Linked DNA regions of Nothobranchius furzeri. The protein of the gene in region 2 interacts with the protein of the main gene of each other region in a pairwise test. Links are inferred from orthologs where the notes say so. Each region holds a gene or a part of one and is shown on either strand. Other genes may lie near its edges.

The links.
Region 1: the proteins of ppih (region 2) and n4bp2l2 interact in binary tests that used the Homo sapiens proteins (3 or more experiments, as listed by UniProt). The two-hybrid records come from large-scale screens. The link is inferred for Nothobranchius furzeri from reciprocal best matches to the Homo sapiens genes PPIH and N4BP2L2.

The regions. Positions count from the first base shown.
Region 1 is NC_091753.1:42,457,616-42,464,848, reverse strand, and holds the end of n4bp2l2 (NEDD4-binding protein 2-like 2), read right to left. Parts: intron 7,219-7,233; coding exon 7,130-7,218; intron 2,839-7,129; coding exon 2,762-2,838; intron 2,670-2,761; coding exon 2,504-2,669; 3' UTR 2,296-2,503; downstream 1-2,295.
Region 2 is NC_091755.1:32,524,133-32,532,536, reverse strand, and holds part of ppih (peptidyl-prolyl cis-trans isomerase H), read left to right. Parts: intron 1-2,738; coding exon 2,739-2,803; intron 2,804-2,894; coding exon 2,895-2,918; intron 2,919-3,388; coding exon 3,389-3,433; intron 3,434-8,387; coding exon 8,388-8,404. UniProt on the Homo sapiens protein: PPIase that catalyzes the cis-trans isomerization of proline imidic peptide bonds in oligopeptides and may therefore assist protein folding. Participates in pre-mRNA splicing.

The DNA.
Region 1 (7,233 bases), on a different chromosome or scaffold from region 2:
CAGCTTATTGGAGATGCGATTGTGCATCTTGTCCTGTCTAATAAGTAGATCATTCCAGAGCATATAAAAGGTCACACGGCTCACCTCATGAATTATTACCAAATGCAGTTAACAGATTTTTTTGTCATGATAAGAAACAAAACAGAAAAAAATACACTATATTTCCTAGAAAGTCAATCAGTTATTTCTAAAACAAATGGACCAATAAGTCTGACTAAATAATGTGCAGCAGTGAAAATAAACACACTGCTGGACAAATAACTTCTGGAATTGGACAAAGTAATTAAAGTGCCAGTTTAGGCGGCTCAGGCATCCGATTAGGATGCCTCCTGGACACCTTTCTGTGGAGGTTTCCCAGGCACATCCAACTGGGAGGAGACCTAAAGGAAGACACAGGACACGATGGAGGGACTGGCATTTCTCGTCAGACCCAAGAATGCCTTAGGATTCTCCGGAGGAGCTGGACCAAGTGGCTGGGGGGAGGGATTTCTGGGCCTCTCTGCTTCCGCTGTTGCCACTGTGACTAGGCCACGGATGAGCAGAGGAAACTTGATGGATGGAATATAAAAGTCAAACAAAATATTGTTAGTGGTTTATGAGGCAAGGGAGGAAGAGAGGCTTCAGAAACACAAAGGAATTCAGAGACAAATCAATAAAACACTATTACGGATCGAAATTACCTTAATTTATCTCACTGTCTGTTTCACGGGGAGTCACGTTCTACTAATAGGATGCTCAATCGTTTTAGCAATAACATTTTATTGATATAATCTTAATGGGAAAAAATATTTATTACAAGTGCTACAACCTGTAATGAAGTCTGCAAACTGTGAGGCTGAAACGAAGAAAGCTGACCCAAGTCTGTCATAAGCTCTTCAGAACATGAAGTAAGAAGGACATTCTGTGGCCAAATTTGGGAACTGCAGTCCATGTTTCAAAGCAATCAAGTCAGATCTCAGCAAGATTTTAGATGACGAATGAATACAAGTCACACAAAATAAGTAAGTAGGGAATTTTTCTCTGGCAAAGATGCTCAAGATTTGGGGAGCTCCTGCCATCGACAGGCTTGGCATTGCTAATCACAGTGCACCGGATATTCTTGCTGGAAATGAGGCGATGTGGACCAAAGTTTTTTTCTTAAATGGGCAGAGGAGAATGTTTGATTTTACAAAAACCCAGCTATATGTGTACATGGCCTTGGGAGTACTAGAAATAACTTCTGGGTTGATCCTGTTACTGGCTTTAGTTCTTTCAGCAATAGGGAGCCTAACTCTCCTCCCTTTCCGGTCGGCTCATGGGTCCCCGGAATAACAAAAAAAATGAGTGCAAGTCAACGGGGCTAAAAGTTATTTTCTAATCCTGCCTTAGGCCCTGGATTGCACATATGTTGTACTGAAATTTAAATGAAAACTAACTATGGGTGTTTCAGCCATCCCTGTCACGTACTTTGAGATTTATCAGCTTGTAAAAGTTCGTAGTTAGCATGACTACAAATTAGATATTGGCACGTTGCATATATGATGTCACCACAGAATCTCTTCTCCTCTAGCATAGCTGCTACTTACCAAATGGCCAGATTTATGGTGTTTTTGTCCTCCTGAAGGAAGGATTTTAAGTTCGCCAAACTTACAGCCATTTTCCCTCAGTTTTTCTCGGTGTCTGGATTGATGACGTCACTTTTATGATGCACATTTGTAGTCCTGGACTTATTTTCACACCAAACCTAAAATAATGTTTCCCTCCGTTCGAAAATAATTGCATTCTTGGTTTCAACATTCGTCTTTAAAATTTACAGACATCATATGTGAAATCCATGGCACAAAACGAGAGGAATTAGATAATAGCATTTTAGCCCCATTGACTTGCATTTATTTTTTCGTTCTTCTGGGGGCCCATGGTCAAGAAGAAGATGGGCATGACTTAGGCTCCCTATGCTGCTGCTTTTTGCCCCACAGTGTCAAGTTACAAATGCTGGAGCAGAAGAATTTGTCAGCGCAGACTTGGCAACGTTGTGGGCTCTCATGTCATTGCCTCTGAAACGTTGACGTATGGAGGCAATCTGGATTGTAATTAAAAACTATATCCCTCTTCCACCTTTTTAAGGGAAAAAAAACTGACAACCACCACAGCTGGCTAAGTAGACTATTTTGTGATTATTTCACTGTAAATGTGTTACTTATTGCACCTTTAAAGAAAAAAAACAGCTTAAGGAAAGACAGACTAAGAACTGAAGCTGAGGCACACCTGATCATTTACAGGAATCTGAAGATGTCAAACACACTTTGGGAGATCAAATAGGTTGGTAATTAACACACAGCCTCTTTATTTTACCTTTAGTTTCATATTTTACAAGTCAAAAGATTTGAACATCAGTCTTCTCATATTAAATGTAAACAATGTTTGGATCTTTAGAAAGCATAAAAAAAGAGACTTCTTCAAAAAAATACATTTACAGAACACAAGAGTGGTGTGTGTACACCAGTGCTGGTGGTCCTGCATTAAACTAATAAAAACGTGGCTTTTTCCTGTTCTGCTGCTGCTCTGACCAACGTCTCTGGTTGACGTGAGCTGGCTCCTCTGAACTCATGATGATGTCAATGGATACGGGCGAGGAAAAACGATCCATCATCTGTTTGATCTTTTCCTGAGGAACACCATGTTTGTTCCGCCTGGAGGAGAAATATCAAATCATGCTCATGCTGTTCATGCGTGTGAGGTTTATTAAAATTGTGAAAATTTGTGCCTGATTAGACAAAAGTACTTTTCCAACTCAAGAGGATCAAACTTCCAGCTGGTTTCTGGTTCACAAAAGTCCACTTTGTATCCTCTCTCCAAGGCCTGGTGAATATATCAGAAAAATTATATAATAGAAGCATAATATCAGCCATAAGATTATGACTAGTGCAGCTTTAGGTTTATGTCATGTGTACAGTGGGTACAAAAAGTATTCAGACACTGGTCAACTTTTCAATCTTCATTATGTTGAAGCCATTTGCTAAAATCAATTAAAAAATATGTTTTCCTCAATGTATACACAGCACCACATTTTGACAGAAAAACACAGAATTTAAAAAATGTAATTAAATATTTATTAAAGAAATACAAGCTGAAATATCACATGGTCCTAAGTATTTAGACCAGGCTTTAGCCTGGGGCACACCGGAGGCGGACGCGCTGTCGCACCCACACTGCACCATCATTTTAAATAGAAGCCACTATAGTTAACGAGAGTGGATAAACGGGGAGCGCCGCGGCGCGGCTAAGCGCTGAAGATAGGAGCCAGTTCTATCTCAAGTGCTGCGGCTGTTTATGTCATTGTGGAGTACTTAACAGACATTACGGCGCGGAACGGCTTTACAGCACAAACTCAACCGCCGGCACAAACCCAGCCGCATTTTAGATAATTTTAAAGTACTGTTGATCTTAAAATATTCACATAAACAGCGTACTTACTGTACCCATTTTTTATGAATTTCAGTCTCACAAATCATGGCGGTAAGTCTGATCACGTATAAACAATAGAGTCACTTCCCGCTTTCTGTTCTCAAATCCTGCGTAATGTTGTGACTATTGCGTGACTTTCCAAGAAGCGCTCAGCGGCGCGGCCCGTGTGACCACTTGACTTCTCAAAATCTCGGTCTGCCTCCGGTGTGCCCCAGGCTTTACTCAATCCCGAGCCTGGAGGGTCAGTATCCAGCACGTTTTAGTGGTTTCTCTCCTCCAACACACTTGATTCAGTGGTTGAATCACATGTGCAGCAGCTCATCAGGCTCTGCAAAAGCCTGTTAATCCCCTGCTGCTTGAAATCAGGTGTGTTGAAACAGGGTTAAAACTAAAATGTGTTGAATACCGGCCCTTGAGGCAGTAGCCTGAGTCGAGAGGCCCAGACTTCCCTCTCCCCAGCCACTTGGGCCAGCTCTTCCAGGGGAATCCCAAGGCATTCCCTGGCAAGGTGACAGACGTAGTTGAGAGACATAGTCCCTCCAACGTGTCCTGGGTCTCCCTTTAGGCCTCCTCCCGGTTGGACGTGCCCGGAAAACCTCACCAGGCGTCCAGAAGGCATCCTGACCAGATGATTGAGCCATCTCAACTCTCCATGTGGAGGAGCAGCGAATCTACTCCGAGCCCCTCCCGAATGACTGAGCTTATCACCCTATCTCTAAGGGAGAGCCCAGCCACTCTGTGGAGAAAACTCATTTCAGCCGCTTGTATCTGCGATCTCGTTCTTTCGGTCACTACCCAAAGCTCGTGACCATAGGTGAGGGTAGAAATGTAGATCGACTGATAAATCGAGAGCTTCGCCTTCTGGTTCAGTTCTCTCTTCACCACGACAGACTGGTACAACGCCCGCATCACTGCAGACGCAGCACTAATCCACCTATCGATCTCGTGCTCCAGATTTCCCTCACTCGTGAACAAGACCCCGAGATACAGTGGCCTCCATAACCCTTAAATGGAAGACAGGGGCGACCAGAACCCTCCTTGCAGCAGGCCATCCAGCCAAACTGAGCTACCGGGGGAGAAGAGCTTTGGTGAGAGAGGTAAACAAGAACCCAAAGATTTCTGTGGCCGAGCTCCAGAGATGCAGTCAGGAGATGGGAGAAAGCTGTAGAAAGTCAACCATCACTGCAGCCCTCCACCAGTCAGGGCTTTATGGCAGAGTGGCTCATTGGAAGCCTCTGCAAGAAACACGAAAGCCTGCATGGAGTTTGATAAAAGACACCTGAAGGACTTGAGATGGTAAAAAATAAGATTCCCATCTCTGGTGAGACCAAGAGAGAACTTTTTGGTCTTAATTCTAAGTGGTATGTGTGGAGAAAACCAAGCACTGCTCATCACTTGTCCAATACAGTCCCCACTGTTATGCATGGTGGAGGCAGCATCATGCTGTGGGGGTGTTTTTCAGCTGCAGGGGGACAGGATGACTGGTTGCAATTGAGGGAATGAATGCAGGCAAGAACAGGGATATCCTTGACAAGAACCATCTCCTGAGTGCTCAAGACCTCAGACTGGGCCAAAAGTTTACCTTCCAACATGACGATGACCCTAAGCACACAGTTAAAATAACAAAGAAGTGGTTTCATGGCAACCCTGTGACTGTTGTTGAATGGCCCAGCCAGAGTCCTGACTTAAACCCAATTGAGCATATCTGAAGAGACCTAAAAATGGCTGTCCACCAACATTCACCATCCAACCTGACAGAACTGGAGAGGATCTGCAAGGAGGAATGGCAGAAGATCACCAAATCCAGGTGTAAGAAACTTGTCGCATCTTTATCAAGAAGACTCATGGCTGTATTAGCTCAAAAGGATGCTTCTACTAAATACTGAGCAAAGACCATGTGATTTTTCTTTTCTAATAAATCTGCAGAAATTTCTAAAATTCTATGTTTTTCTGTCAATATAGGATGCTGTGTGTACATTAATGAGGAAAATAATGAATTTCATTGATTTTAGAAAATGGCTGCAATTTAAACGAAGAGTGAAAATTGGACTGGGGTCTGAATACTTTCCGCACCCACTGTATCAGACACAATGTGTTTTTCTGTGCATCTCTCTGCAATGTAGAACATTACAACAACAACAACAACAACAAATACAGAATGAAAAAAAAGAATAAGCAATGGAAATAAACTGAATAAAACCATTTTGGTTGACACTGAACAGTTTCAGTCAGGAGCTAATCTAAAGGAGTACAAGAGTGTCTGTTGCAAAAAGGTGAAAAATAAATCTTAGGACTGTCTAGGCAATGCAAGAATAAAATCTGGGTCGTAAAAAAGTGTTTATCAGAAAATTAATTTATAAGTGTGATTTTCTTTAAAAGGTATACTGTGCAACTTTTTTTATCTTTAAATAATTTCCTTGAGCCAATATGTGCCAACGCCAGGGCTTCATGAAAAGTCACTCAGATCTCACCACCCCCTGTGCCCAGAATACCATGCTTGCAACTTCAGAGTACCCTTGACCAATCCCTGTTACTCAATAGTAAAATGGATCTGACATGCTATAGCTAGAGTGTTCTTCCGGTACATGATTCCTGCATCTTTTAGATGAAGAACACAGCTGATTTGTTTCATTTAGTAATGAACAGCTCCTGTAGAAACTACAAAAGCCGACGAGACATTTCAGCAGTTAGGTTAAGGTGTTAAAAAGACAAACGCAAAGAGAGGAGAGAGTTTCACTTTCGGTTTTACGACAGTGAATTAACAACAGAATCTAGGGATTGCTAAAAGCAAGCTAAAACTAAATGTGTCTTCAAAGTTATAGTTCACTGAAAATTCATTTTCTAATTATTATTTCTGATTATAATCGGTCACTTTGAGTTTTTCATGTAGTCTTCTACACTTTTGTCCTGCATTAGCTTCTGAAAGAAAATAGGTGAATCTCAAGGATTTGAAAAACCTGACAGATCTACATCACACTGTCACTTAACATTCATGGACTCACCCAATTTAACTCATGATGGGGAAGGCTGTTGTTGATTTAGCGTCCAAGAAACAGCAGAGAATGTCTCGACTAGTATAAGCTAACTGTTAGCATTAGTGACTCCCCCACATGGCAGAACTCCTTCAGGCTTGTGTTATTAGTGGAGATAAAACGTCAATGTCACTAATCAAACAGTCAGTGGTAGAGCCGTGTTGTTGTTAGCCATTCAGAGGAGAGATGCCCAAATAGCAGGAAATAATAGTCCAAATCCTGTTGTCTGAAGCTACTTTCTCCTCTATTGGACTTGTACTCCTTGAAACAGGCACATTGTCTTGTTATATGGAGGCTCAGAAAATAGTTTTCAGTCCCAAAAAGTAAAAAAAAACATTCTTCTAGAACCCATTTAAAAGCTGTCTTGTGTATTTTTATACAGCATTTTACAGATTTTTGCACACTTGCTTACAACCTGAAAAAACCAAACCAGCTCTCTGCACTCTTCATCTCCCAGTTTTTAAGATAAATATCAAATATAGTAAATTTTTTGCTTTATTTTTACAGTTTTTTGAGAAAACCTTGTTTAACTGAATACAGCGATGGCTGCTCATAGCCCTGTTGCAGAACAGCAATTTCTTCCCTCTTGGTCCACTTTTGGAAGATTCTGACCTCTGTTTGCATTTAAATAAATAAATAAAACTGATCCTTACCATTTTGACATATGGCTTCATTTCCCAGGCTTGGAGGTTTGTGTTGTCAATAATAACAGGAGACCGGCCATCATTCAGGGCGTTGTTAGCTGATAATTAAACAT
Region 2 (8,404 bases):
TGTTCTCGTGTCAGATAATCTCAAATGATTCTTCTGCTTGATGCTATTGCTCTTCCAGGAATAGACAAAAACCTGGATTATCCTTTTTAAAGACAAAACACCTGCCATTATACCACCAAAGTAGTTTGTTTTACAGAATCCTGAAGTATCAATTTCATGATCTGAAGAGGTCCGACTTGGTCAAACTGTTTTTTGTCGTAGTTAAGGATTTTTCTGTAGTTTTTATCTTAACCTGGAGATCATAAATGCGTGGTTCTCACACATATTGTGTTGCCCTCAACGACTGTGGCACAGTTTCTTTGTCCACATTTCCATTGCCAGAAAATGATACGAAGACTAAAATGAAAAGGCGTTTGTTGTTTAAAATATAGAGAATTTGCTTTGCAGGAATTGAAGCGAGTAAACAAAATGTGTCACTGGATGCCAGCTGGTATCTCTTACTGGTTTGTTTGGTTTTTGCAAAAGTGGACAAGGATGATTATGATGTATGTTAGATGTGGAAAAACAAGACCATAGGATATGTTTCTGACTGTATTCTGATCCCAGGTCAAACTGTTCATTACAGTGATATATTCTTTAGGGTTAGGGTTAGCCTAATTACGGAAATGAATTATTATTCTTTGGTTAATAATTAATCAGTAATGTTTGATCAGTGACAGAGGGTTATGTGCACTTATACACACCATGCAGGGCACTGAAATCATGTTAAAGGTAACTGCATTCACATGTCTTTGTTCCATAACAACAAAGCTTTCTATCTCTGAGAGGGCGTGTTCTGAATTATGTTAAAACCTAAACTCCTCGGTTCAAGTTCAGTTCTTGAGCTCACCAAAATCTCTCCGTGGCGACGAGAGTTCCAGAGTATCGGGTCAGCCGCTCGAAACCTCCACCAAAGCTTTTCTGTCATGCAGAATTGCTTCAACAAGAAACGCCATCTGCAACAAGCTGACGCAAAACTCCTTCAGACTTAATTTAAGATGCAAACTCAACACCTGTGTGCCTGCGGCAACTCTAGGACCAGAGAGTCTGTACCACTCGGATCTCCCCTACCGGACCGAGTAACCAGAGGCTGACAACATCCTCCCTTGACCTCTGGATCCAAACAGAGGGTTGTCTGAACGGTGAGGTAGAACACATCTGTATGCCCGTTCCTTATTAAGAAATAATTTAGCTTAGCTGCAAAACAAACTCTTTCACCCAGAATGCGTTTTTCTCTCTCTAAGATAGAAACCGTCTGAGACCTTCCATTCACACATCCAAACACACACACATCTCATTTTAGTTCCATCCAGACACAGGCTGCTTTAATACCAAGTTTTAATATCAAAGCTTTTATAAATTGTCATTTATGAATTGTCTTTTAAATTGTCATCTTTAAATTGTTAGTAATAAATTCTTAACTTTTTAAACCTGACTCTTCTTTGAAATAAAACACAAAGTGGTGTATATTTGGTCACTGAACGAGCAAAAATCTCTTTAAATCTTCTGAATTAATAAATAAACATTTGCTATTAATTTAAATCTCTTAAATTAAATATTAATCTTTTGATTAAATATAGACCAAGCCAGTTGGTGTATGAACTTCTATCGATTATATAAATATCCGTGGATATATATATATATATATATAATATAAGTTCATTTGCCAATTAGTTTGATTTTTCTCAGAATTTAGCAAAGCTGGATAGCAACAGCGCTAATAAGTTCTAGTTATGTAGATTAACTACGCTACACTCATAAAGCAGATATATTTTGCAAATGTCTGCAAATTTCTTTATAATCCCTCCATGTAAAGTGTATAAAACCTCCACATGCAGCACGATGCTGACGTCATCATACTACAGCAATGCCTGTCAGCAATACCTGGCATTCTTGTGAGGATCGGCTATAAATTTGGACAGTCTAGCCTTCATCTTTACTCAGCCTGGTTGCTTTAGTGTGTATTTAGAAAAATAAAGCAAGTCATATTAAAGATGCGTTTACTTTTGGATGGTTTTCAGCTTTAGCCTGTTCACGTGACTTAAAGCTGCAACAGCAAATCTGCAAAACAAGCTAGCTTAAAACAAAAACACAGTCCTGGAACTCTCATCCCTCCTGACGGGTATCTTCCCCAGGCCAAGTCTGCCAGATACCAGAACCTGCAATGCCAGAGGAAACAAGAGGGCTCTAAACATCCGTCTCCATTTTCTATGTCCAAACGTCTTTTGTTGTCCACAACTTCAAATGGTGTTTTTCTTTTTGGGACTGCTAGTTTGTCCTTAAGTAGAAGTGGTAGCAGCCGGCTGTTTCTGCTTCTCTGACTTTACTGAGCGGAGAACCTGTCACACCCGCCGTGGTGTTCTGTTGGGGGTGGGAGTGAAAAAAGGTCTCGATCAGTGAAGCTAAGGATAGAATTTTGATTATGTCATTCCACCATAGTTCTCAGCTACAAGCTAACTGAGGTTTGCTGGTGCTTTTAGCCAGAAAAACTCGGATGAGGGACTCTAGGTTGAGGTTGAAGCGCGCATCAACGCATCGAGCTGCAGAGTTTCTGTGGTCTCCCTCCGAGAGCTCCACAGGTGAAAGCACAGCCTCACACTGCAGCGACTGAAGCCCGGTGCCAATTGCACATCAGATCTAGTTATCCCTTACTTTTATTAATATATTCTTAACTTCTCTGATTTAATCTCCTGAATGATTTAGAAAATGTTTTCCCTTTTTGGTTATGATTAATTACCAGAATTTCCTCTTTCTGTCAGGATGTCGGACGGATGAAGATAGAGCTTTTTGCAGACGTGGTTCCAAAGACGGCTGAGAACTTCAGGTAAGACCTCTGTCTGCATCACAAAATTTCCCAAACAGAAAAACGACGCAGTTTAAAAAGATTTTACTAATGTTTTTATGATCTCTTACAGGCAGTTCTGCACAGGAGAGTTCAGGTACGGCACTAAATGGGCATTGGCTTCTCTTGGTAAATAAACACAGATAACTGGTTAGTGAACAAATCATCACAGGTGCATTATTCATTCTCTTTGCAGGATGATTTCATGCAATGTTTTAAGTAATGCAAAAAACTAATAAAAGCAATATTGTACACAACTTGGTCGATAGCGCTCAACTCAGAAAGCACAAAGACCAAATCGTGCACAAACCAAATAATGTAAATTTGCTGTCATATTTGAAAATGTTATTGGTTTAATTTTAGAGGCTTTTATTACTCACACCCGACAGTGGCTCTGCTTTGTTAAAGGCAGCTATTTAAAGTGACAGAGGCTGATGTAAGTATGGTCAAACACGGAAGGAATGGGAGTTTGTTTAACAGGTTGCAGGTGTGTTTAATAGTCTGCAAGACAAGTAATGGATCCTTTGCAGCTAACATTTGTTCTAATCTCTAACCTTTGCTCTGCAGGAAGGATGGTGTTCCAATTGGGTTCAAAGGCTGCACCTTCCACAGGTAAACGGAGTAAAATTACCTGTGACATTTCAAAAAAGTTACAACTCTCATTTATTTTCCTGTTTAACCCGACTGTTTTGTAATTAAAACCTTGTGAAGAGGGTTGAATCGGCTCGTTTAAAGAAGGAAGTCTCATAAAATTGAAGTGTGGGCTGATGGGTGGAGCTTTGGCTTCCCCTTCACGCTTCACTCGAATAAAAACTATCGATACAAACCTGTTTTTAATATCACCCAAATGATATAAGAATACATGTTTTTATTTTGTAGCATCCTGTAATGCATTGAATTAACTGATTATCAGCACATATGAATGCAGAAATGTAGCCAATCTGGACCATTTAGTTGTATTCTTGCACATTTGTAAAGAGAAAATACATCAGTAAACATTTCTTCTACGTCTTTCTGAATACTCTCTCATCTCTGGTAGAGGGAGACACACACTAACGCGTTACACATACACACAGCTCTGCCAGCTGCGTTCCCAGAAAACAGGTCCATCACACAAACGCTACCCAACCACAGCAGAACATGTACAATTCCTTAAATGAAATTGGAAAGAAAATGGAACATTTCGCCTGTGACACTAGCTAGCCTGGCTCTGGCTTAGTTTCTTATTTGAATGCTACAAGCCAAGAAGAATGCCTTGGTGGCCTGCATTGTTTGTACAGTAAAGTGCTGTACAAATAAAGTGAGTTGAGTTGAAGAACACGTCATTCGTGCAGAGGGGAGAGAGACGGTCAGAGGGCAGTTTGAGTGGGTTATGATCCTGATGGCAATATGGAAAAATTCCTCTGGACAAACATCATCCACTCCACCTGTAACAGATCAGTGCAAAATGTTCAAAACTGATGCAACTCAGAATTCAGCAGGCTGTTGTGCAAGGAAATGGATGAAAACGTTAGTTCTATGGGTTTCAATTAGAAGATCCCATTGTTGAAGTTTACAAACTGGTTCAGCTGGTTTGGACGTTTTCTTTTACTAATCTTTGTCTAAAATAGTGAAGAAGCTTGTTTGGTGGGTTTGGATTGATGCGTCAGAACACAAATCAAGACTTGTGATACAAAAGTCTTTAATCATAAAAATAGAAGATTTTTTGACAGTCAGCACCATGCCAAGCTGACTTGGTTTTTTTTCCCTATCAAAACTAACACCTACCAGCTGTCAGCACGGTGGTGGAGGGGTGATGTTATGTGCTCGTTTCACAACCCTGGAAGTCTATCATAGTTTGATCTATAGTCAAATGGGATCCTTTCGTTTGGGAACTGAAATCTGCCTGATAAGTAATGCAGCAAGAAAGTGAATTGAAGCACATCAGATACAGAAAGATTGAGCGTCCATTTTCCTCTACTTGTCTGGGGTGGGGTCACAGGTGCACTGGCCTAAGCAGAGAGGCCCAGACTTCCCTCTCCCCAGCCACTTGGGCCAGCTCCTCCAGGTGAATCCCAAGGTGTTCCCCTGGCCAGGTGAGAGACATAGTCCCTCCAGCATGTCCTGGGTCTACCTTTAGGTCTCCTTCCGGTTTTACGTGCCCAGTAAAACCTCTTGAAGGAGGCGTCCAGAAAGCATCCTAATCAGATGCCCGAGCCACCAACTGGCTCCTCTCAGTGTGGAGGAGCAGCAAATCTACTCCTAGCCCCTCCCGTATGACCGAGCTTTTCACGCTATCTCTAAGGGAAAGCCCAGCCACCCTTCAGAGAAAACTCATTTCAGCTGCTTGTATCGGTAATCCCATTCTTTTGGTGACCACCCAAAACGTGTAACCATAGGTGAGGGTAGGAACGTAGATCGACCGATGAGTCGAGAGCTTCATCTTCCGGCTCTCCTCTCTCTTCACCACGACCGACTGGAACAATGCCCACATCACTGCAGACTCAGCACCAATCTGCCTATCGATGTCATGCTTCATCTTTCCCTCTACAGTGATCCCTCGCTACTTCGCGGTTCGTTTATCGCGGATTCACCACTTTGCGGATTTTTTCTTTGGAGCCTTATTCAAGGGAAATTCGCAGATTTGCGGTATTTTTCACCAATTCGCGGTATTTTTCTATGCGAAATATCAAGAAATTCCTGTTTTTTTTTTCATCAATTTCATCATAAGATGCACTTTTTGTAATAAAACTATTAAAAAACCAAGTAAAAAAAATTTTTCTTGAGTTTTACCCACAAAAAGAGAATGTGCTGTACTGTAAATATGGTGTCCCTACTTCGCGGATTTTCACCTATCGCGGCCAGGTCTGGAACGCATCTACCGCGATAAACGAGGGATCACTGTATCTATCCCTCACAATTATCTTGGGGTCTTGTTCACTGAGTATTATGGAACTTTTTTTATTTGTTCTGATTTGCTGAGTTAAAGAAATGCCAGAGGAGGTACTTGTTCATACAAAAGATGAGCCAACCATCATTTCTTAACATTTAGCTACTTTGAGGACAGACTTCCTTGTCATTGTTTGCTTTTTTCGTAAAAGTCTTTCATAAGTTTCTGTTGGACGTAATGTGCTTTTTAAGCTGGTCTTTAGTCCAATATCGGACCACTTAAGTAAAGCCAGTTAAAGCTGAGTTATGAATCATCCAGGAGTTGTAAAAATCCCTAATCCCAAGAGATGAACCGTGTTGTGTCGACACACAAGAAACATCTTGGCTAAGAAAACCCCGTCTGGCACATGATCAGTACTGTAGCGTGAGCAGGGCGATTCTCAAATATCTATTTGCTGAAAACTTGACATTTAGAAAATGACCAACTGAAGAATTAAGCAGCTCCCGTTTCTTACACACTTGTCTTTCTGACCCCAGTCGTCTTTTGAAGATAAGGATATTTTTAGGCCTGGCTTTTCTTCTCTGCTTGTTTCTCTTAAAAGAAATGTGGATTTCTAAGAAAGAAAAAGCGATGCACTCGAGGAATGATTCAAACCAGTTTGTTGAAACCTGAAAAACAGGATGGATGTAGTTGAAAAAGGTGCTGAGTGGAATGCCCGAGAGCCAGGGCTGTTACTGATGAGGAACTGTCACCCGATCCATTTTGCATTGCCTCGGGTCGGAGTGCCAGAATATTTATTTTAGTTTATATTTAACCCTGTTTACAGGAAGGGTCCCTAAAAGACAAAAGGGCCATTTTGGAAGTTAGAAGTTTTCAACCCTTTCTGCATTTTCCCTCCATATGAAACACAACTAGATAGATAGATAGATAGATAGATAGATAGATAGATAGATGGATGGATGGATGGATGGATGGATGGATGGATGGATGGATGGATGGATGGATGGATGGATGGATGGATGGATGGATGGATGGATGGATGGATAGATGGATAGATGGATAGATGGATGGATGGATGGATGGATGGATGGATGGATGGATGGATGGATGGATGGATGGATGGATGGATGGATGGATAGATAGATAGATAGATAGATAGATAGATAGATAGATAGATAGATAGATAGATAGATAGATAGATAGATAGATAGATAGATAGATAGATAGATAATAGATAGATAGATAGATGATAGATAGATCAACTTTATTGTCCAACTCAAAGGCAGAAATTCACCTTTGACATGGCTCACCTTACAATACAATCCATATCGCATTCACACAAATACATAAAAAGACAATTAAAAGGTATTAGAATGTTATCATCGTAAAAAAATAAAACTGTAAGAATTCAAAATTGTAATTGCGCTGGGAACAAATAATTTCTTATAGACACCTTTCTTGGCCAATGGAACCCTGAACCTCCTTCCTGACGGAAGTAACTGAAAAAGTGGGTTCAGTGGACGGGTTGAGTCTGCACTGATCAGGGTAGCCTTCCTGTGCACTGCTCGCTCGTGAAGAACAGAAAGTGGGATCTGAGGTGAACCTGTAATTTTGCTGCCTAATTTAACAATGCGAGAGAGTTGTGTTTTGTTTTTAACTGTAAGAAAGGTATACCAAGCTGTAATATTGAAAGTTGGAATGGATTCAATCAGTGGTTTATATTATACAATTGTTAGGATGTCCTTGTTCACATTGAGTGCTCTAAGCTTCCTTAGCAGGTGGAGTCTTTGCAGCGCTTTCTTGTAGACCCCGTTGCTGTGATTTGCAAAGGACAGGTGGTCATCAGTTTCTGCTCCCAGGTACCTGAATGACTGAACCTGCCCCACAGGCTGACCCTGTATGCTGAGGGGTTCGAACAGGGATGTGTCTGCCTCACCGGCTGCCCCACAGCACATGTCTTTAGTTTTTGAGATATTCAGCCCCAGGTGAAAGTCTCCAAATGTCTGGACCAGATTGCTGACCGCTGCTGATATTTAGACAGGTCCTCCGATGTCTTCACTGATGCCACCAATGCCATGTCGTCTGCATACTTCTACAGGGCCATTCTCTCACTATGGCACCGGATGTTGTTTGTGTTGACTGAGAAAAGCACTGGAGACAAAACACATCCTTGTGGCAGTCCAATGCTAATGAGACTTTTCGTGGATTTAAATCCTCTTAAGAACACTTGTTGTGGCCTGTCTTTCAAAAAGTTGTGGATCCATAAAAGCAGCGTTGTGTGGAGATGGAGATCTGAAAGCTGTTCCAGCAAAATGCTGGTGTCTAGTGTATTAAATGCAGAAGACAAATCCCTGAATAAGATTCTTGTGTATGGTTGTGTAGAGTCCATGTGTTTAATGACAGCATTTAGAAGTGTGAGACTTGCGTCCTCTACACCACGTTTTGCCTTGTAAGCAAATTGTAGGGGATCCAGCTGGTCTGAGATAAATTTTGTCAAGTGTCCTCCCACGACCCTTTCCTTGCACTTGCACAGGACTGATGTTAGGGCCACAGGTCTAAAGCCCCCCAGTTCTTTTGCATGAGCTACAGAACTACAGTCTAAGGTTTACTGTTCGGGCAGAGAGCAGAGGAAAAAGCTGAATACAATCTCATTTACTACTTCACTTTTAATCTTTGTGCTTCAATATTCAATTTCAGGGTGATCAAAGACTTCA